Drosophila melanogaster: one gene and its partners. The protein of the gene in region 2 interacts with the protein of the main gene of each other region in a pairwise test. Each region holds a gene or a part of one and is shown on either strand. Other genes may lie near its edges. The genes, in order: Sik3, CG12645 and Pus7.

Evidence for each region.
Region 1: the proteins of CG12645 (region 2) and Sik3 interact in a two-hybrid assay, tested with the Drosophila melanogaster proteins (one large-scale study listed by BioGRID).
Region 3: the proteins of CG12645 (region 2) and Pus7 interact in a two-hybrid assay, tested with the Drosophila melanogaster proteins (one large-scale study listed by BioGRID).

What each region holds. Positions count from the first base shown.
Region 1 is NT_033778.4:18,685,282-18,692,703, reverse strand, and holds the start of Sik3 (Salt-inducible kinase 3), read right to left. Parts: upstream 4,573-7,422; 5' UTR 4,154-4,572; exon of another isoform or gene 4,056-4,153; intron 664-4,055; 5' UTR 40-663; coding exon 1-39. Other genes in the region: CG42855 (uncharacterized protein), read right to left, coding at 5,025-5,255; CG44433 (uncharacterized protein), read left to right, coding at 6,088-7,422.
Region 2 is NC_004354.4:10,150,655-10,157,086, reverse strand, and holds CG12645 (uncharacterized protein), read right to left. Parts: upstream 3,476-6,432; coding exon 3,142-3,475; intron 3,085-3,141; coding exon 2,937-3,084; intron 2,758-2,936; exon of another isoform or gene 2,703-2,757; coding exon 2,564-2,702; 3' UTR 2,078-2,563; downstream 1-2,077.
Region 3 is NT_037436.4:8,506,468-8,514,347, reverse strand, and holds Pus7 (pseudouridine synthase 7), read right to left. Parts: upstream 4,346-7,880; 5' UTR 4,264-4,345; coding exon 4,145-4,263; intron 4,085-4,144; coding exon 3,897-4,084; intron 3,836-3,896; coding exon 3,464-3,835; intron 3,409-3,463; coding exon 3,306-3,408; intron 3,247-3,305; coding exon 1,824-3,246; 3' UTR 1,341-1,823; downstream 1-1,340. Other genes in the region: CG6683 (uncharacterized protein), read left to right, coding at 1-152; ZC3H3, read left to right, coding at 4,704-5,371, 5,470-6,015, 6,113-6,308, 6,367-6,750.

The DNA of each region.
Region 1 (7,422 bases), on a different chromosome or scaffold from region 2:
AGGAGCTGCTGCTGGCCCAGCCGTTGGTGTGGTGGCCATCGTCGCAGCTGCGTCGGTGTATTCCCTTTTTCTCTTTTTGCCGTAGGAGGATGAGGATTCTTGCGGATGCGTAATTGGCTTTTCGCGCACAGGAAATTCACTTAATATGCATTTTCTTTTGTCGCGCAGTTCAAACGCGAACGCGAGAGTTCATTTGCTGGCGGCGAGACTAACAAACCGGAGAATGGTGAACCGGAGAATTGAGAATGGAGAACGGAGAATTGGGATGACGGGATGCGGGAAACTGGTTGGGGATCCGGGAGTTTGGAGACGGGGGAGCCGCCGCCAGCAACAGTGGATTGTGTGAGTTGTGTAGAGTTTGCGCGGACTCTAAAATATTCACTTAACTCGATTAAGAGGTCAATGGCAGCTTCTCGTTCGGACTTTCCAGCGGATTCTCGGCGGGCAGTGGGCCATGCCCACCAGGCAACTCCAATGCTCACTTTGTTCTTTAGTTTTTTTTTTTTTATTTATTGAAGCGACACTTCCTCGAACGTTTTATTTGTTCTCAATATATGTATATATATTTTTTTGGTTTACGACGCCTTCAAGTCTCGATTTAATGGCTCTTTGTTCGAACGCAAATTACTTTTCACATTTCGATTTTGCACTTTTTGTCACCGTCTTGAGGGAAGAGAGGGAAAATTATTAAATAAGTATTTCACTTTGTCTAGTTTTTGACCTTGGGGTTTTCATTTCTATTTTTCTTTATCGCGGGTGGGCGTGGCGCATGTGTGCGTGTGGTTTAATGAGCAAAACAAACACCAAAGATAGCAAAAAGAGAAAAAGAAATAAACTAATGAAAACAGAGAGCAGTAGTGTTATCTATTCGAGCAGAAATCTCAAAGAAAACAAAAGGCACATGAATATTTTTCCAGCCATAACCGCTTTTTGTACTTTGATTTCTAAGCGCTGGCAATGTTTTTATTTCATTTTATTTTATTATTTTAGCTTTCAAAAAAACTTGGTGATAACATTTTTGGTTCAGCGTATGTTCATAAAAAACGGAACTTTTGAAGTAAACTAGTTAAAAAATTTTGTTATGCTTAAAAAGTACATTATCTCAGAATTTTTTTTCAGAATACTTTCAAGATATTTTTCCAAATACGAAAAAGTAGATATTTTACTCAATGAACATATTTTTATTAGGCAGGAATAGTTTTAAGTTTTCAGTGTAACGTTAAGAAAATGAAGCGCGTTAAGACCACGATAAAAAAAGAAAACAGGGCCCATGTCTGTTTTTTTTTTTTTTGTAAGCTGATCGCGCGAAAGAGACAGCGAGTAATAGGGGCTCACAATGGGTTAATGTACAACATCAAGGTCGTATGAAAACCGGGCACTTGCACAGCCACATTCGCACATAATCGTGAAGCGAAAGGGACGGTGATAGCGGTGGGGAACAGAGAGGGGTAGTCGTCAAAAAGCTCATTGAAATCAATTTAGACCAGAGTGTGTGCGAAGAAGAGGAAGCAGGCGGCGACGACGACGATCAAACATTAACCCAACCAACACTCGCCACACACTCGCATAATCCAAACAAATTGTTTTCCCCCAAAACTTTCTCGTGATATTTCGCGGGTGTGAAAAGAGCCGCGGCAGCTGGACACCTCACCCTCTCGCTTCCTCTCACATCCACCGATTTTCTCACATTTCTGAAAGGTTTTCGCGTACGCTTTCCTATTGTTTATTTGCATTTATCAGTGGAAAGACACAAAACAGTTGTAGAATTTTTGTGGAATTAGCAAGCGAATGGCATACCGCAGACCGAACCACGCGAAGTACGAAGCGGACGGAGTCAAAAGTCAAAACTGAATGAACTTCCAACCTGGAAGATACTTCTCCGGCTAACTGAAGCCGGGGAGGCTGCGACCTCGCTTCCAGCCAGCCACACACACTTCCAGCGCAGAGCGAGAGGGAGCGACTGTAAGAGGGAAACAGAGCACGCAGCACTATGTGGTGGGGATGTAAAAGACGTCACCGGGTCAAAGGTGCTAAAAATCCACTATATATGTATCGCACGGTGTACTCAAAGAGGAGTTACTCTATTCATTATTTTTTTTAAACTATAAATAATTTAAATAATTTATTGAATCATTATTAAAGTCTAGCTTTAATTCGCTGAATGGAAGTTAAAAAGTATTGAATTATACAAAAGACTGATTTGAAGCAAAGTGTGATTTGAACCTATACATATGTAAATCTTTGAACTATCCGATTTTAAACTGCTACAGTAAATATATCCTTAAATAAACATAGAGAACCTTAACATTTAGTAGCATAAAAGTGCCTACTACTTGAAAAAAACGCTTTTAAAACTGCTTTTGAAGCAAGAGTTGGGTATTCAACGTATCTGGCCAATTTTGCTGATAACTAGCAGTTGTTTTGACTCTTTTTTACCAAATCGGAGAGACAAAAATGATTAAAAAAATAAAAACAACAGCAAGCGAAAGGCAAAAAAGAAACGACAAGTAAAATAAATGAGGCAACAAGCCGAAAGCAAAAGAGAGCCGAAAAACCAAAAGCAGCAGCAACAACAACTAGAGAACTTGGACTTACACAGCATCCAAAGCCAGACAGAAAAGCAGACGGAAAGAGAGGGGGCGAGTGGGAGTGGGGGTGGCGAACGGTGGGTAGTGGGCAGAGAAAAAGGGATAGGGCGACGGAGCAAAGCAAATATGCGAGAAGAGAGACAATCGTGGGTTCTCCATCGACTGACAAAGCTAAGAGGGAGAAGGCACTATCAGCAGGGCGCCCATTTGCATGTGTGCGTGAGCGGGGGCGCAGCAACAGCTTGTGTATGTGTTTGGGGGCTTGGGACTCCAAGGAGTCAAGGAATTTTACAGGAAAACTACCGCAACCCGTATGAAAATTACAATTACTGGGGCATACACAAAGAGAAAATGTGATCTGTGCTATGAATTTCAAAATAATTTTTGTAACTCCAAGAAATAGCCAACTAAACTGAAAGAAATACTATTGAACGTTATTTTTACAGATTTTTAAATATATTTTAAAACATTTATAAAAACATTTTTAAGGTTTCTTGGGTTAATTCGCAGTGACATATTTGCTTTAGAGATAAAAAAAATCTCAAAACTCATTTAAAATTCAAAACATAATGAGAACGTACTCTTTGCTTCTCAGTAGTAATTTTAAAAAAACAGTAAAGATTGAGCAAAACGAATTTGGGCTTTTCGCTTTTGCTCAATCCATACAAAAATAGCTATCAATTCATTTTAGGAATGTCCATTTCGACTTTCAGTGTTGTAGTTAATGAAACAAGATTTTATTCAAGATCACTACACTTCTTTTATTCCCGTGCAATTGCATATGTGTGACGACAAAAGAATGAAAAAGAACTTGTCGAGGTCGCACGCACTCACACACACCACACACTGTTTACAGGAGAAAGCACCTGCAATTGATAACGGGTCGCCAAATGGTAAATAGTACAAACAATGCATACGCAAGGTGTCCAATTAGACCACTCAACGGCAATTGGCTTTTCGCTGCCCCTTATTTGCGTTTTACCGGAGTTGCAATGACGTACGCACGCACACACACACATGCGTATAAAAGCGAACGAGTGAGAGAGACAGAGAGCCCCCACCGCAAACATACAACCACACACACACTCGTACACGCTCACACCGTTATGTATGGGAAAACGTCACGACTTCCAAAGTGGAAAATCGTACGCGCATTTTTTTTGTTTTCCTTTTTCCACGGCTCGGAATCGAAGGTAAAACTTGCCGCAGCGCACGTCACATAATTGCCATTCATGAATATGTTTTTAGCTTCCGCATCTCGGTGGCCATTCGAGATGGCCGCGTGGGTCACGAGCTCTTTTATTGCACTCTATGCTGTGAACTGGTGGAAGCGCATATCGTGTCACGCGCTCATCACTGGAAATAGTTGCTCACCACACACACACATGCAACAGCGCTGCTGCTGCTGTGTTGTTGTTATTCCGCTTTTCTTTCAGCCTCCGCAAAAACAACAATAACAACACTCACAAAAGCTGGTCAAATACAAAACACACTTGTAAATTTATTTAATCTTCGCTCCACCGTTTTTTTTTTTCGATTTTTTCATACGCTCTGGTCGCGCTTACACATTACGATTTCTATCTCTCCGCTCTTCTTCATTTTACTTGATTTCCATTTGTCGCTTCCTCCGCTTTTTTTTGTATTTCGCTGGCGAGATTTCTTTTCACGTTGAATTTATACTATATTGCATTTATATTATTGCGCTTATCACTGGCGCTTTGTTGCTGGCTTCTTGCCTTTCGCTTACATATTATATTCACTTGGTTGGTGTGTGTGTGTTTGCACTGAACAATCGGATGCGGATTCGAAATCGCGTGGGCGCAGCGTGCGACGCGTAATTTTGCATTTAACATTTAACATGAACACACATAAATAATCGCCCTCGGCTGTTCTATTGGAATTTTTTTCTGTTATTCGTGCCGTCTACGGCGATTCTGATTGGACAACACCACCTGCTCGCGAAGCAAAAACTCGGCACCGACTCAGTGTGGCCGTGTAGCGAAGCAGACAAAATGACGAAATCGATGACGACTGCGAGACAACTCTGTGGAAGAAAGCGGATATTAGCCAACACTAAATGCAGATTTAAATTCGTTACATATTTACCAATACAATGTACATTCGATTAAAACACTTAAATCTGTAAATGAAAATTATATGTGTGCTTTAGACTTGTTGAAAATATATAAACAATGTTTAGCCTGGAAGCAAACAAAGAAACAAAACATTAAATTTATAGTAATAAAATAAAAGTTAATAGCTTGTAAGATTTTGAAGTCCTCTCTGCATCAATTTACAAGGCTTAAAGTCTTAACAAAAGGTTGGATTTCTCTGCATACTTTCAGGCGTCCATCAAAGAGTATATGGTAAGAATCAGAGCAATTGCTTTAGTAAAATACTAACCAATGAGTCATTATTTCCCCAACTTTTTGGAGCTTAGAGATAAAGTTGGCGCTTTTGGCTGGAGGATTTTTTGGGCGGCTCCGCGGTTTGGGGTCTCTGGCGTATCACCCTGGTATTCTGGGGCACCTGTCGCACTTTCTGGATCAGGATGGTCTTCGGAATCTCACGAGCCTCGTACCATCCGGGATTTACGGCTTTGACCCACGAACTGGCACAGCACTCGAAGCTGCTCAATAGTTTTGCCACACCGCCAAAGGAGACCATTTTTCTTGAGAAATAAAACTTAAAAAATCTATGGAAAATATAGAACAATCTGAAAACTGGATTATGTTCACTTGAAACTTGTAAATGAAATGAGTTTATTTGATTGTCTGTTCATGAAAGTCCTTTTCGACGCTTGCTTTTGTAACGGAAATTTCTACTTCCTGCGCAGCTTGGAATACGCACGAAACCAAGTGGCATCTTGGAAGGACCCCGTCCATGAATGAATGCCTTCCAGCTGGCCGTTGATTCAACTTTCCACCAGCAGCCACCTGAATGAAAATGGAGCCGGGAATTTCACTACACCACTAAAACGGAAATTGCGTAGGTGGAGAGAGAGAGAGAGTAAGAATGAGCGAGAGGACCAAATGAGTTACGCACCAGGAGTCGCGTGACGTCATTTCAAAGTTTGTGCACCACTGCGAGAAACTAAGGAATATATATAAGACAGAATTTAAACGATTTAAATTAATTTGAAAACCATATTTTGAAAATACATTTAAGATTGAAAGTTTTATATTACTTGAATGGACAAATAAATTTTTTTTTTTTTTTTGATAAAAATATGTTGTTTATCACAAGAATGAACAAAATATTGCAGTTCTATAGCCTTATAAACAAACATTTCATAGCAGGCCGTTTACCAATTGTCAGGGTTTTTCCAATAACAGATATGGCACCAAAAGTGCATCCAAAATTTTCAATGAACCCACAAGCCCCAATTAAACCAGAAAAAAAAACTATTCAACGGCAAAGCAAGCCAGCAGAAACTTTCAGAGTCAGCAGTTGAAGAACAAAACCTCAAGCGAATCAATAAGAATCCATTAAATCCAGCATGGTTCGGAGAAGGGTACTGACTAATTCGGCCAAGCAGGCTTCGATGAATGCCTATCAGCAGCTGTGGCAGCAGCAGCAATTCGCCCGAGCTCCATTAGTTGCCGCTATGCCAGAATATTGGCATTCCGTGTGCAACAAATTTGGTGGCGCCATGCCGCGAATGGCGGTTTTAGCTCCGCCGGAAGTCAGTAGCCGGAAATTGAGTCGTTTGCGAGGGCAGCTAATGAAATCCCAGCGAAAAAGCGCTTCGATTCAGAGCTTCATACCAAACTACGGACTGCAGCAGCATCCTCAAATGCAATTTCAAAGGGGCTATCAAAACGCCAGCAATGGATCCTATCCAAGTCGAAGTGTTTCTAAGGCAGCTCTGCTGACACCCGGTTGCATCTTAGCTGCTTGTCAAAATCAAGGCTACGGTGGTGTTCCAGCAGTGGGAGTTGCATCCGCGTCGCAGCAGCAACATCTTCAGTTGAATCAAGGAAATTTGTTCAACTATCCGGGTGCAGTTAGTCCTTTGCAGTGGCAACAACAGCAGTATCAAGTGCAGCAGCAACACAAGCAATTTCTACTGCAGCAGCAACAGCAGCTGAAGGCAGCACCTGTTGGCATTCTGAAGAATTCTTCAAGAACTGGAGCTGGTCAGCAGCTCAATGGGGATTACTTTGCTGCCAGTCCTCCTCCAAAAACGAAGAAAGTGACAATCAGGAGCACATCTCCCACCCCCACCTCCACATATCAAAAACCCATAGTGGAGAAAATTAAACCTTTGCCTGATATTCCGCCAAAGCCAAATAAGAAATCCAAACTAAATACACTGAGAAAAGAGCGTCAGCAACTAGAGCAGTTGCAACTGCAACGTGAGCTACTCAAACAGCGAGAATCTATTCAGAATCAAAGAAAACAATTGAAGCGAGGGCATCAAAACCAAAAGGATTCGTGGAATCAGAAAACCCATCTGGAACCTAATACATGTGCAAGCTTCAATTTCGGAAAATTAGCAGATCGTTTTATAAAAGGCCTCAGTTGCGATTCAGATACAGAGACTCCCATGTTTACGGCAGCCAATGCTAAAATCAAGCCACTTAATCAAGGACATGATAAACCACATTCAATAAACTTTTCCTATGAGGGCAACACACTGGAGAAAAAACCCGAGTTGAAGGCCAAGCCTAAAAAGTTGGATTTGTCCAACAAGGAGAGTAAGACATCATCGACAGACTTGCTTGATCGCGTTTCCAAAGAATTTGATTTGGAAATTGATAGCAGCACAATTACGCTGACTACAGAGCAGAATCAGTCAAAACCGCCATATCAAAGTCGCACTTCTTTGACC
Region 2 (6,432 bases):
AAATCAATCGATGGACTGAGGGAGCATTAAATATTTGTTTTCGACCTGACCTACGGCTGATATTACAAATGAGAACACTGAAAACAGCCATTTGACAAAAATGTAAATGTTTAAAATGGATTTAGAAAAAATATATTTTGCGTAATTTTAAGTTTTTTTGTCATCAAAATTTGCAAAATATGGCAAAAAATTTGAAATTCTACTTTTAAATACAGTTTGAGTGGAAATTTAAATACGAGTTTAACGAGACATTACATTCAATATTTGGACAATTATTTTTAAAGTTGTGACAATAAACCTGATTATTTTACGACCGAAATTCAAAATAACCGTTTTTGGCAAAAATTCGATATTTACGAAGGCAATTTTTGTTATAAATTGGCTAAAAATTATCATAAAGATGAAAGAATAACTGTTTTGAGCAGCTAATTACCAATGCTAACGAGCCCTATCACTTTCTGGAGGATTTAGGAAAATTAATTTTTGGGTCAATTTTCGCATTTTTTGTAAGGGGTAACATCGTCAAAATTTGCAAAAAATGGTCAAAAAATAGAATTTCCATTTGTGAATACAGTTCGATTGGGAATTTAATTACAAGCACAACGAGGTATGACATTCCATATTCAGGCAATTATTTTTAAAGTTATGCCAAAAAAACTGATTATTTGATGGCCGAAATTCGGAAAAACGGATTTAGCCAAAAAGTTGATATTTACAATTGGAATTTTCGTCATAACTTGGCTAAAAATGGTCATATTAATGTAAGAATAACTGTTTTGAGCAGCTTATTACCAATGCTAACGAACCCTATCACTTTCTGGAGGATTTTCGAAAATTAATTTTTGGGTCAATTTTTGCATTTTTTTTAAGGGGTAACATCATCAAAATTTGCAAAAAATGTCAAAAAAATAGAATTTCCATTTTTAAACACAGTTTGATTGGAAATTTAATTACGAGCTCAACGAGGTATGGCATTCCATATTCAGACACTTATTTTTCAAGTTGTTGCAAAAAAACTGATTATTTGACGTCTGAAAGTAGCAAAAAATGGAAAAATATTACAAATTCTGCTTTTAAACACACTTTGAATGGAAATTTAAATACGAGTTAAACGAGATATGACAATCCAAATTTGAACAATTAGTTGTAAAGTTGTTGCAAAAAACGGATTATTCTATGACGAAATTTTGGAAAAAACAGATTTTGGCAATAGCAATACTCAATATTACATATTACTTAAAGAAAATCATAAATTAAAGCACAAAATCCCCTAAATAATAAAACCGTCCACCGTCCACAGCAAACGCAGCTGTAGTAGCTTTTATGTATAGGAAAATGAATTAACACAATGATACGCATTGTTTACTGCTGACATTAATGGGCAGGCGCAAAAACAGAAGACCAGCCAGAAGCAAAAGCTGATCTAATTAAAGTGGCCAACTTATTGGGACGGACTGCCGTTGGCACCTCATTTTCATTGTTATACCATTACGTATTTATTATAAGTATGATTATTATTGTTGTTTTTGATTATCATTGTTTGTTACGACAGCAACGGCGCCAGCATCAGCAGTAGCAATAATAAACTGATGCGTGGACAAAGCGGCGTATACTTGATGCGATTGAGTTTTAGCTTCCACATTATTCCACCAGCTCGGCCATAATGCTCTTTTGGTCATTATTGTTGTTGGCGGCACCGTGAACCGACTAATTGTCGAGCTCTGTCCTTTTGTTTCTCGGCCCCGCAGCTGTGGCCTAGTCAATCCATCCATCCATAGCTGGGCTTTCAGTAACGGTTTTTGGCCCATTCGTCGAAGGCCATGTTGCGCTGAAGGCTGCAACGTACGAGGCGCTAATTGAATTTGCTGCCACCGCTGGCCAATTGCAGTACCAAAAATTGAACAAAGCCGCGCAAAGCACTGAAATAGGCAGAAACCTCGAAAACAAAAAAGCGCAACTGGAGGCCAAACAACTGCGGATGGTTCAAATTCTGGGGACACTCTTCTCGATTTCGGGTATATAAGTTCTTGGCAAAAGATTGCATTTGCCCTTTTGCCCAATTACATAATAGTTTCTTAGACATATTTATAATTTTATTGTTATATTTAAGTAATTGTATCTAAATTGAATACTCTCTTCTTTTTTTTGCAGGGTATCAAATAACGAACAGCATCCACAACAACCAGCACTCGTTGGCAGGATGTGCGAAACGGAGTGATGATGAGGCAATTTGTTTAGGCCAGTTATGCATCATTTGGGCGACAGGGCAGTTCAGTACAGAGCATGGCAATGGTAATCGGTGTATGGTGTCCGATGTTGAAAGGATTGTGGATTGTGGATTGCGGATTGAGGACGAAGGACGATGGGCTTAGGTAGGCAATTCGATTTGACGGCGCACAATTTCCGGTCGCGCCCGGCACTGCGTTACTCATTACAAGCGAATAAGCGCCAAGTCCTTGCGGTCAGAAGCGCGTGCCGCCCCACTCAGCTTTATTCGCACACACGGAAAACTTTCACAATTAGCGGCCGGATTCCGGCTGCGATCCTGCAGGATATTTCCGGACTACCGCCGCCGGCAGCAGCAGCAGCAGCAGCTCCTCGGATAATGTGCGCCCAGAAAGATCTCGCAGGCGGAGCAGTAATGATTCGTTGTCCGGCAGCCATTCCATAGATACGGAAACAGGCAAGCGCAGCAGCACCAACTGAAAACAAAAACATAGATACATATATACGGATATGAGTATATCAAAGTTCGAGGTATGTAAATCGAAAGTTACTTTATCTATTTCCATTATTTCATACGATTTTTGAAAGTTTACTCATCATTTTGTTCATATTTAGTGTTAAGTACTTGAAACTTAGCACTTCTGAAGCTAACAACGTTTTGGGTTAAAAGTTAGTTAAAATTTTCAAACTAATTTAAATACCCAACTCACCCAAAAGTGCACAAGCAGAGGGCCCAAAGGTTAGTCCGAGCATTAGGTGACCTCTTCAAACGGGTGACTCCCCGTTGACCACAAGCTGGGCACACGATGTCCATCGCCTGGCTACCCAGTTTGGGTTGCGGGCTTAGGATAAAGAAATCTGGCCAATACACAATTTCAAAATATGCAATCGAATGAGTGTTCAGTTCATAGTTACCATCGCACTTACTTCTCACTGGTGGCATTGCACGATGATCGATGCTATTGTTGTCCGCTAATCCTTCCGATTGTACGCTCACCTCGTCTTTCGTTTGGGACATCGGCATCGGCATCGGCATTTCCTCCACCCTGGACCTTAGATGTTGGGGTTCTGCAAAAAGGGTTCTTCGCCGATCGTTGGAATAATCCAAATTATTCTGAATCGTAAACGTTTGCATTGCATCATAGTAGGTCGGCGGTTCCGATGGCGACAAGGACATGGGTCGCTCTATCTGCAGATCCTGGCCGGGATCCTGGTCTTGGAACAACATGCGATGCTTCTCTTCGGCCATTCCAAACCCTTCTGTTGGGCCAGTTTCGCCCTACGATGGTTTTTATTCCTTGGCAAAAAAGAAACAACCAGCCAAAAACAGTTGTCGATGATAGTGAAACATTCTGGGCCAATTAACCAGCTGCTAGCGATATCAACGAGTCACCCCAATAGAAAACTCCACAGTTGGTCAAAAAGTGCTTGAAATGGAAATGGTCTAGCTGAATCACCTTTATTTCATCGTCGTTGGAGAATATTGTCAGCTTCCGTTTCATTTCCTGTTCATAACTTTTGCAATATGTGCTGCTGACCGCTTGCACTGGCAACACAAATTTTCAAATGCTCAAAAATACACGTAAATATTTTTACAAAAATTTCTTAAAATTATTTGAAGTGTATAAATATCTCTTTAAAACGAGTTGCATAGAATGTTATGAATCAAAATCTTATAGTGTTGCTATTTCTCGCATAGAGTTTTCCACAATGTATTCCTGTTTGCGTATTCATTTTTGTTTTTCTGTTTTCCTTCAAGTTTTTTCAATATTTTCCAACGACACGATGAGGATGGAAAAATGTGAATGAAATTCTGTTTGCCACTTTGCATTTAATTAACTTTATCGCATGCATGTAAATAGTATACAGGCGCAAATAAACTAAACAGGTATACGGCAAATTATAATGAAAACTTTCATTTGCATACGGATAACTGACATATCTGGATTAGGTAAAAAAATATACCTTTAGTTTATCCAAAAAAAAAAAAGGAACGTTCTTCTTTACATTGCTTAAACTAACATTTATCGTTGTCCGTTAAATGCCTGAACTTTCCTGATATTAAATTTGCCTGTTTTTTTTTTAAGGTCTTAAATTTTATTTATGAATTCCAGGGTGTGCCAACCTTTGATTTGCTTACTCCTGCTGTTGTTGTTCCGCCATCTGCCATTCAAATGGGAATCGGGTTTTTTTGGGATCGGGGCACTGAGAGCTGTCGCTGCATAAATTTGCAGTCCATTTCAAGTTGGCTCATCGCTTTGATGTTTGATTTATTGCACGCTGTTTGTGGGCCCAATGGGGGGGGGGGGGGGTGTGATAGGGGATTGAATAGGGGTCAAGGGGTTAAGGGGGGGTGGGGTCCGAGTGCCATGCCGTGGGCTTATCGGCCGACATGCCAGACAATTGTGAATAGCAACTGCAATTGAATTTGACAGCGGCGGAGTGAATGGGGACCAACTCGCGTATCAGGTGCTGACTTGGGTACGCAAATAAATGTATGAGGCGGGCAAATAAATCTGTAAAAGGGTTCGCATTCCATTATGGATCCTGACATTTGTCTATTTATGCATTCTAAAGGTCAGCTATCAGGGTTTAAAAATGGAGCTACATAAATAAGTTAGTTGTTAAAGGTTAACAGGGGCGTATCTTTATTATTGGATTATTTATTTATTTACATTTATTCCTGGCAGTTCATTTAGTTCATTAAATTCTTACATTCAAATTAAGAGCACTCATTTGGGCCACTCCTTGCTCGATAATCCCGACGATTGGCCTTCGTTTTTTGGGGGTCTTGGGATTTGGCTCAACATTCGTTCAACTGATTAAACTGTTAGCTTATTTTCGCACAGACCGCCTATAGCTCTCTCTCTCTCTCTCTCTCTCTCTCTCGCTCTCTCTAGCAGAAGCACCTTCTCTGTCGCACTGATTGCGGCTTTGGCTGAAAATGTGTGCAAATAATATTTCGTGTAATTGCAATTAGCGCCAAAAAGGTTTTCACCGTTCACAGCTGCTGAATGGAGCAGTCGTATCTTCATCTCCATCAGCGCCCACTTTTCACCACGCTTTCACCACCGCCCATATAATCTGCCTCTTTCACTTTTTTTTTATATACAAATATACATACATATATACGTGTATATACATATATATTTATATATCTATTTGTTGTTTGCTTTTGCGAGGAAATGCGTCCGTGCGAATTGCGATTTCTTCGATGCTTCAATTACATTTGTACACCTGGGAAAAATATTCACCCGAAGATGGCAAGTTTTGTACAAGTTTTGGTTTGGCAAAACATAAGCTTGAGAAATATTACGAATTGTTTGTAGTGTAGAAATACTCCATGTACCTAGGCGCCAGGAAATCAATGTTTAAAAGGGATGCTGAACTGCCTCTTCTCACACCCTCCTGCTGGCTTGTTAATTTGCCAAAAGAGAGAAAAAAAAGCCCGAAAGAAGTGAAGGAAAAGATATTGAAGGTGCCAGATCCACAAAACTCTACCCTCATCCGCAAAATTCTTCAGCCAAAAAAAAAAAAATGCTGAACACTAAAGCGACTAAATAAGGGGCAAGAAAAACAAAGGAAAAAGTCGAGTAAATGTTCCTTGGGTTCGTGTAAAATAGTTAAAGTTATGAGCCAAAATGGAGCCAAAGAGCAAAATCAACTCGCTCACACGCACACACATACTCTCAAGCACTCAAAGTGCAACAGTGTGTGTGTTTTTTTTTTTTTTTTTTTTTTTTTTGGTAGGGTTTTGGGGCACGAGTAATTCACATTTCGAGCACGTCTCGCTTTTATGCTCTTAAATGGCGAGTGTATCTGTGCAGGACCTCCATTTCCCATCACATGTGTGCGTGTGTGTGTGCGTGTGTGTGTGTGCCGTCTGTGGCAAAACGATAATTTTGTTGATGATGCCATGATTATAAGTTTTAGCCTCATCGCAAGAGCTCTCAGCTTGCCGCGGGGAACAATGGCGGTTAGAAAACAGCCAAGAAAGCGTTGAATCCCCGGATTAGTGACTGCCGCAATACCCGGTGTTTCACTTAAAATATTTATTAAAAAAAATAAATGCAAACAGTTGAAAATAGCGTCGAATTGAAAAACTTGACTTCCATATATTAACTTATTTCATTGCGATTTTGCAATAAAGTACTTTTTACTCAAGATTTCTTGAGTGTCCAAGTGGTCATGTGCTAGGTACTATCA
Region 3 (7,880 bases), on a different chromosome or scaffold from region 2:
CAGTGGCTCAAGCAGAAAAGAGGATAGAAGCCCTGCTTGAAGGACTGGGCGAAGCAAACCGAATTAAGGCGGAGAAACGCATTCTGGCCTACCTATGCAAATGCAATCTGCGCGCCCTGAACGACGAGCAAATCGATGATATAGTTATTTAGGAAGATTGCCAAGATGATATAGTTATAAAGGAAGATTGCCATGATGATAAGTTAAATACATACATGCCGTGATAGGATATCAAAAGTAGCAAACATCACTGATCATATAATTGTTTAATAATTAAGTCATTTTTGTTATAGTTTATATATCTGGACAATTATCTTAAGCGAATACTAAATAACTTCTTTTTCCAAATGTATGCTTCCCTAAAAAATATTGTTAATCCATTCATTTAACCTAATCTTCGCATCTAATGAAGTTTACTATACAAACTAACTATTGCATTGTATGATATGATAAAACATTAACACGCCTGTGATTAAATAGTTTATTTTATTTGAGGCTTAAGATTAGCAATTTAAAATTCAAGACAACTGGTAAACCCCAAACAAAGCATCAATTGTCGCCAGAGGTCATTTATAGAGCCAGAGACTTGCGGGAGTGTATAGTAATGCAGTAGGAAGCTATCTGTGTGGCAAAAGCCAACTTTGAACAGGCGGGCGGGGAGCAGGTGGAGTAGGCGAGGGAAAATCGAATTGAGCCACGCCAAAAAACTCCTACTATGACGCAGCTGCTGCTGGGAACTGGTCAAAGAGTCAAAGAATGCGCGCGCAAGCAATAACATGTCCAATATCCATGTCTGGATCGGATCGGGGGAAGGCCTCCAGCACGGGGACAGGGCGACGACGACGCCAAAACAAGCATTTAGTTTATTAATTTGACGACTGCCGCAGGGGGAGCAGTGGGCCGAAACAAAAACATAACGAGCGAGGAGCGTCGTGCACCCTTAACGACTGATGCCACACTACCACTACCCCCTCGTACCGACTGAGTCCCCCTTACTTCACACGTACATGGTGAACCCTCCGACGCACTAAGCCACTATATGAACCAACTACTCCTACGGCCAGCCACCTACCCACTAGACCATTCCCATTCCCAATCCCCGGACTCAGCTCTTGGTATTAACACCGTATTATCGATTGATTTCCAGCACAAGCACACAACAAAAATCAATAGGCTGCCAGAGCCAAAATCAAATATTGTACAGTTCTGTGATTGTTTAGTTCAGTGTTGTCGTAAAAGTTATAAACAATTTGTAGACTCGAATGTATACTTACGCCTTAATAAATGGATTTTCAAAGTACGCGCCCAAAACGTTTAAATGCTACATTTAACTGGAAATTCACCTTGTCTCGCCTCTTGGTTTTTTTATTTGGTTTAAAATCTCTTTAAATCACTGGATGAATTGGATGGAGTCCGTGGATTTTTGGGGGACCGTGCTTGTTCGTTATTTGTTGTCAATTAATAATTTGTTATTGCTCTTCATTGAGAACGCTGGGGAAAACCGTGCGACTTGGACTTTTGAGCTGGGGAAACTGCGCAGCGCGTCGCTTGAGCTTTCGCGTTGGTGGCCACCGAACGAATAAAATCGCAGTCAAAGAAACAGGACCAAAAGGACTCTCCCAGGCGAGAGAGAGAGAGAGAGAGAGAGCGATTGAGATTGACGGGGTGCGAGCCACGGGATGCGACAGTGAGAGAGAGAGAGAGAGGGAGCAGCCCTCGTCCTCACGTGCGCATTGTTATTGTTGTGGTTGGTTCGAAGTTGGATACGAAGCGCGCGTAAAATTGATTTCCTGAGCATATTGATTTTCGGTATCTCACTTGGCCTACACCGCCTCCTCGGCCCCCTGAGTTTCCGCCTGCTCAGTTTCCTGCCCATCCTCGTCGGCCACCTCCTTTACCACCTCCATTTGTTCCTCCTGGGTTCCTACCGCCTTCTTTTCATTGTCCTCCTTAGCCATTGCCTGTTTCTCCAACTGCGTTTGCGATGCTGACGATGTGTCCTGCTTTAAGAGTTCTCGCAAAAACATGGTGGCATAGGCAGCCGTGGGCAGCGAGAACTCCAGCAGGAGTGCCATGTAATTGGCCTCAGCTTCAGCTGGTTCTGGTGCAACCGGAATGTTCTTCAATAGCTCCCAGTCGGAGGCGATAAGTGTATCCTCCGGCGTATTGTACATTCTAAAGCTCCACTTGAGATCACTGGACGATATGATCATCTTGCGGTAGGCGCCAGCCAATGCGTATGTCTTCTCCTTGTGCTTCAGTTGATCCGAGGAAAGACCCACTTCGGCGAGCATTTCCTCGTACCACGCGCCGCACTCGTTGCTGGGATAGGTGATGTCGTGTCCAGGCAGGGGAAGGACCACATCGCAAAGTTTGTACTTGCCGCTAGCGATGTCTTCTGCTGTGAGCGGGCGAACCTTTCGCTTGAAAATCGACTCCTCTTCGATGGCTTCATCCCCTTCGGGGACTTCCAGAGGTTCATCGTTAGGCTCCTCTTCTTTTTGCTCTTCCAAGGCCTCGCCCTGCTGCGCCTGCTCTTCCGAGGCTTCCGACTGATCCTGCTCCACATAAACCAAATCCCCGGGTATCAATTTCAAGCCGAACTCCTTAATTCGTCTAGACGCTATCCTGTTGAAGATCAGGCTTTGGTAAGCATGTGGATATAGCATGAGCATGTTGCGTGGTATCTGCCGCAGAGCTGATGAGTAATCTGATTCACCAAATCTGGCCAAGCCGTCCAGCAGCTTCTTTTCGATGAACTTTTCGCCGTAGATCTGTGCAGCTGCCGCCGCGGAGTCGCGATTTTTCCACCACTCCTCGCGTATGGGACGCAAAAACTCCACATCCGAGTCCCGGGGTTTCAGGATCAGTTCGCAGGCCAGTTTGTAATCGTGCTTGAGCAGAGCAACACCCACCTCATAGGTTGGGACACTGGCGCTGTTGCCGAACCGCTGCAAGCCATAGTAGTTGATGAAGCCGCGTTCCTTCAATGATTGCAGTGCCTGCTCGATTTCTTCTCGCTTCTCCTTGGCAATGTGTCGCAAGGCAATACGAAAACGATTGCCCTGCAAATCGCCTAGCTTCAGTGTATTGGATTCGAATCCAAAGTTGCCGATATGAACATTCCGTTGGGAGCGAGCTGCAACCAAAATGCTCTCTGGTGTACGACGCTTGACGGAGAACTTCTGGGTGGTTTTGGCCCGCTTGTCCTTGATGCCGCTGTAGTTCACCTGCGATGGTCGTAAGCTGTAGAAAAATAATGTTTTCTTAGTATATTAAAGCATTTAAAATTTGATCAAACTTACTTCAGTCGCGCTGCTAAAGTAGAGGCCACATCGCTGGTAACCAAATTGGTTTTGTGCACCAGGAAGGTCACGTAATCCGCCGGAAAGCTCCAGCGTTTGTCACCTATGGAATTCGATGCATAAAAAAAGGAATTCCCTGGGTAATCATTTCTACTAACCGCGTCCTGGCTTTGGTTTAAATACTTTTATAGTCTTCTTCTCCTCTGCCGGCACCTGTGAGTCTTTCTGGGTTGAGGTTTCACCTTCAGCCGCATCCTTATTTTCCAAAGATGCCTCCTCCTGGACCTTCGGCTTAGCCTGCTGCTGTCCAATGGTTGTGGACAGTAGCTTGCCCTTGTAAAGCTGTTTTATCATCTGGTGGACTTGTGTTCGCTGCTCCTTATCCAGAGTGGTCACATCAATCTCCACCTTTTGCTCGATCGCGGGATCGTTTTTGGCCTTAGCCAGATTGGCTATATCCTGCCAAACTTCCGGGCCGATTACTGCCTCCAGTTCTTTCCGCCAGTTGTCCAGTTCGTTTTCGGCCACAGCTGTTATAGTATGAGATGCATGAGCATAAGCAAGTATGCAGGATAATTGGTGAATACAGACCCACAATAGCCACTTTAGGCACACTGAGATCGTTCAGTTCCAGAACCTTTCCATTGCTATCAATCTCGTTCACGTGAAAATCAGAGAAGCGAGACTTAAGTATTCCCGTGAAGCCAGGTGCCTCCGGGTTAGTGAACTCCGTAATGCCCACTTGGGTCTCCAGCAGCGTGGATTTCTGTTGTGGAGCACTTTTGTCCAACGAAAAACGCCGGTTAACAACGATATTATTTATGGGATTTAATTTGTACCTGTTGCGCTGACCGCCACCATTGTTTTGGGGGCGATCCTTCTTCTGACCACGCCAGTTGCTCTTGTTGTATGGCCCGGAATGGTTATTCCTACGTCCTCTGCCCCGATCCTTGCCCATCTTGGTTCAAAATTCGCGTTTGAAAATTTGTCGGCAAATGAAATCCACGTTTTGCACAACATATGATGTGCCCATTCACAATAAGCTTTTTAGGTTTATTAGGGTGGCCGCATGTGCCATTTATTCGGGAAATAGATTTCTTAAATGGTTGTTAGCATAAGTTCATCCGCAAATATTCCTCTTTTTTTATATTGTATGATAAATATAATTTAAAAACATGCTTAATATTAACATATCATAAAACTTTTGTTAGTATATTTTCCTCATTTATACTTCAGTATTTTTTGGTATTTTTCTGGTCCCAGATCAAGTTCACACTGCGTACGTAATGTAAAGAAAATGTGCAATACAAAGAAGCATTGGAAAGAAGTGTAAAAATTGAGAAATAACCAAAAATTGGAACGGATTAATTCATTAGGTTAAGCCAAGGAAGCAACGAAATGTTGCCGCATATAAGTGCCGACGAGGCACAGCCGTCTATGTCGCGAAAGGTGTACATCAATCCGAATTTTCAGCTGCAAGGTCAAACGGCGCATCAGCTGCCGTTCCAAGTGCCCTTCCAGGCGTTCCAGGCGCCACTGCAGCCTCAGCCCGCGATCCATATCAATCCGCACTTTCTGAATCGCCAGCGGGCCATGTACGACCAATACCAGCGGGAGCAGCAGGAGCAGCTTATGATGCAACAAGTTTCCGCCTCGCACTATCGACTGGATCCAACGATACACCTACTGGCGACTCCACCTCCTCCGCCCGCCAAGATCATCAGCAAAGTGAGCACGTGTCTCGTGCGCAAGCCATCAGTGGTGGCAAGTGGTCCGGCGGTGAAGCTCGCTGCTTCAGTACCTGTGCCCACTGTTTCCAGCCTGGTGCAGCCTCCATTGGTAAGCATTTCCAAGCGGAAAATTGTGAGGCAAGGAGCATTGAAAGCAGCGCCAGCGGTTGCTGCCCTCCATCCTCCTCCACCTGCTAAACGCACTAGGTACAAATTAGTGCGTTCCATATCACTTACCTGCACACCGCTGGTCAAAAAGCGTCGTCCTCTACGCGAGTTTGTGGGCCAGTACGCCCTGAGACGCACCAATGAAGCGCAGCCCAACAGAAAACTGAGGTAATGAAAATCGGATACGAGCAGTTGAAAATAGTCAAGCAACAGGCGACTCTGTTAGACAAGGTAATGTACATCAACTAACTTAACTTTTATTACAGCTCCAAGCCGCAGGCGCTGAAGCTGGGCGTTAACAAATCCCTGAGCATGGTCAGCATACACGGTGTGATGTACAAGAAGATATCGAAGAACAAAATAACCAAGCTGGATGCCAGTTCCTCCGCTAGGGTAGCCAAATCGGAGAGTCCCAGGACCTTGCAGCGTACCTTGTCCGGCAGAACGCTCTTCGTCAGCGGCAATAAGTTCATTTTAGATCCTTCCGGCTGCCGCCTGACCAGAGTTTCAACCTCATCAACTGGTGCTACCCAGAGTAGCGTAAATCGTAGCATCCTGAGGCGCATCGATATCGGCGGCCTTACCTACGTTGCTTCGCCAAAGGCACTGAATGTCTTTGTACGCACCAGTAATCACGTGTCGCGAGCCCATTTAATCACCGCCAAACAGAGAAGCCTGACGTTGCTCAACAAATCGTTGGTGAAGACCAATGTGCCTTGTGCCATCTTCCAGAAGCTGGGCAAGTGCGTTGCCCATAGTCGTGGCAAGTGCCGCAAGCTGCACGACAAGCGGCAGGTTGCCATCTGTGTCAGGTTTGTCCTTGGCCAAGCGAAGAGTGCTAAACCTTCGATGGCGTCCAATGTTCGAAATTCGCAATGCGGTTATCTTTTTGAAATCATTTACTTGCAGCTTTCTGCGCGGGGAGTGCACCAAACCCAAATGCCTGCTGTCCCATAATGTCACGCTGGAGAAGATGCCCGTCTGTCGGTACTATTTGCGCGGCGTTTGCGTTCGCGAGGATTGCCCGTACCTACACAAGAAGCTGAGCAGCAAGACCGAGATTTGTATTGACTTTGTGCGCGGCTACTGTCCGTTGGCTGCCGAGGTAAATAGGTCTGCCACTTATTTTCATTGAAAACCTATTAACTCCAAAACATTTTAAGTGCAACAAACGTCACGAGTTTTCCTGTCCCGAGTTGGAGCGCAAGGGCAAGTGCGAATTACCCAGGTGCGTGTTCTGTAAGAAGTCGCCATCAAAGCGATTGGCCAAAGTCAAGTCGCGTCCCAAACTGGGCAGTAAACCTGTCGCCTTCACGGATACCGCGAAAGAATCGTCTACAGCGGATGAGTTGCCCACCAGTTCACGCTACTTTGGGTCCCACAAGGAACCAGCGGAAGCAATATTGACTAGAGATGATGTGGAACAGAAGAAACCTGAAGCGGAGGATGAGGATCAGAAGGAAGCGGGTGCCCCTTGCCCTCGACGACGTCCTCAACTGGGAACTCTACCCTCTTTTATTCCCTTAGGTGGCGAAGAAAAGCTATAAGGCTATGCGAAGGCTATGGACCCAACGTTTCAGGTACAAATTAATTCGGTTAAGTATTGTTTTAACGTTTAGTCTAAGATTTATCTTTAGTAGCTTATTTTCAAGTTTTAATAAAATATTCAAAAAGACAAATTTATTTGCGTAAAATAAATAAAAGATACATTTTATTGGTTGGGTATATATTTGCTACGCTCGAGGAAAATGTAAACATTTGCATTAGTCGTTTTATGTTGTTTATGTATATAAATTATTAAACTAAGATTATTACCAAAATAAATCACAGTTTTTTCGCGGTGTATTCAACCATCTGGCAACATGCCGATCGTGCAGTGTGACCAGGTGGCACCACTTGTTGTTGGATTTTGTGGCGCCACATAGTTGTGTACCTGTTTTTAAGCCGCTCTCTCGATTCGAGTCTCGATTTTCTCGCCACAGTTGAATTTTGCATGCGGCTCGTACAACACCTGAACAACAAACGCGGATTCCGTTTCGAGCAACAACAAAAACAGTGAGTGTGTGTTAGTGCTCGTGCGTGTGTAGCGGTGGCTCTTGCAAATTTATTGCTCACCAGGCCAAAAAGAAAAGCGAAAAGGCTGTGAAGTTACCAAAAATAAAATGCGGACCACAAACATGGGAGATTTGCGGCAAATGGCCTTTGAACTCGTCCACTGGCTTTGACATCTGTTCGCGATCGGGAATTTTCGAAACTCTCTTTCACACAACGTCTCTCATTCGCTTCGTCTTGGTCCAGAAAACCAGGCCAAAACCATTTTCCAACCGAATTTTTGTTCAATTGTGCACTTGTGGCTGTTGGTACATTTTTTCCGATACGTTCTCGCTTTGGTGCATTCCTAACTAAATGCTACTAATAACAAGAGGAGAAAAAAGAGAAAAAAGGAAGGCAATCCGAAGATTGGCCAAAGAGGTGAAAAAAGTTGCTTGACTTGTTTGACCCGCGTTTGTGTTCCAGTGTGTGTGGCTGTGTTGTGTGTGTGTGTGTGTGTGAGTGCGACTTCTCCTTCTGCTTTTTCCTCTTCTTCGGATTCTTGTTGTTGGCCCAGCCGTATTCTACATAAATTACTGACCAAAATGACACCAAAGAGCCATAAAAATGTATTAATAATTTATGC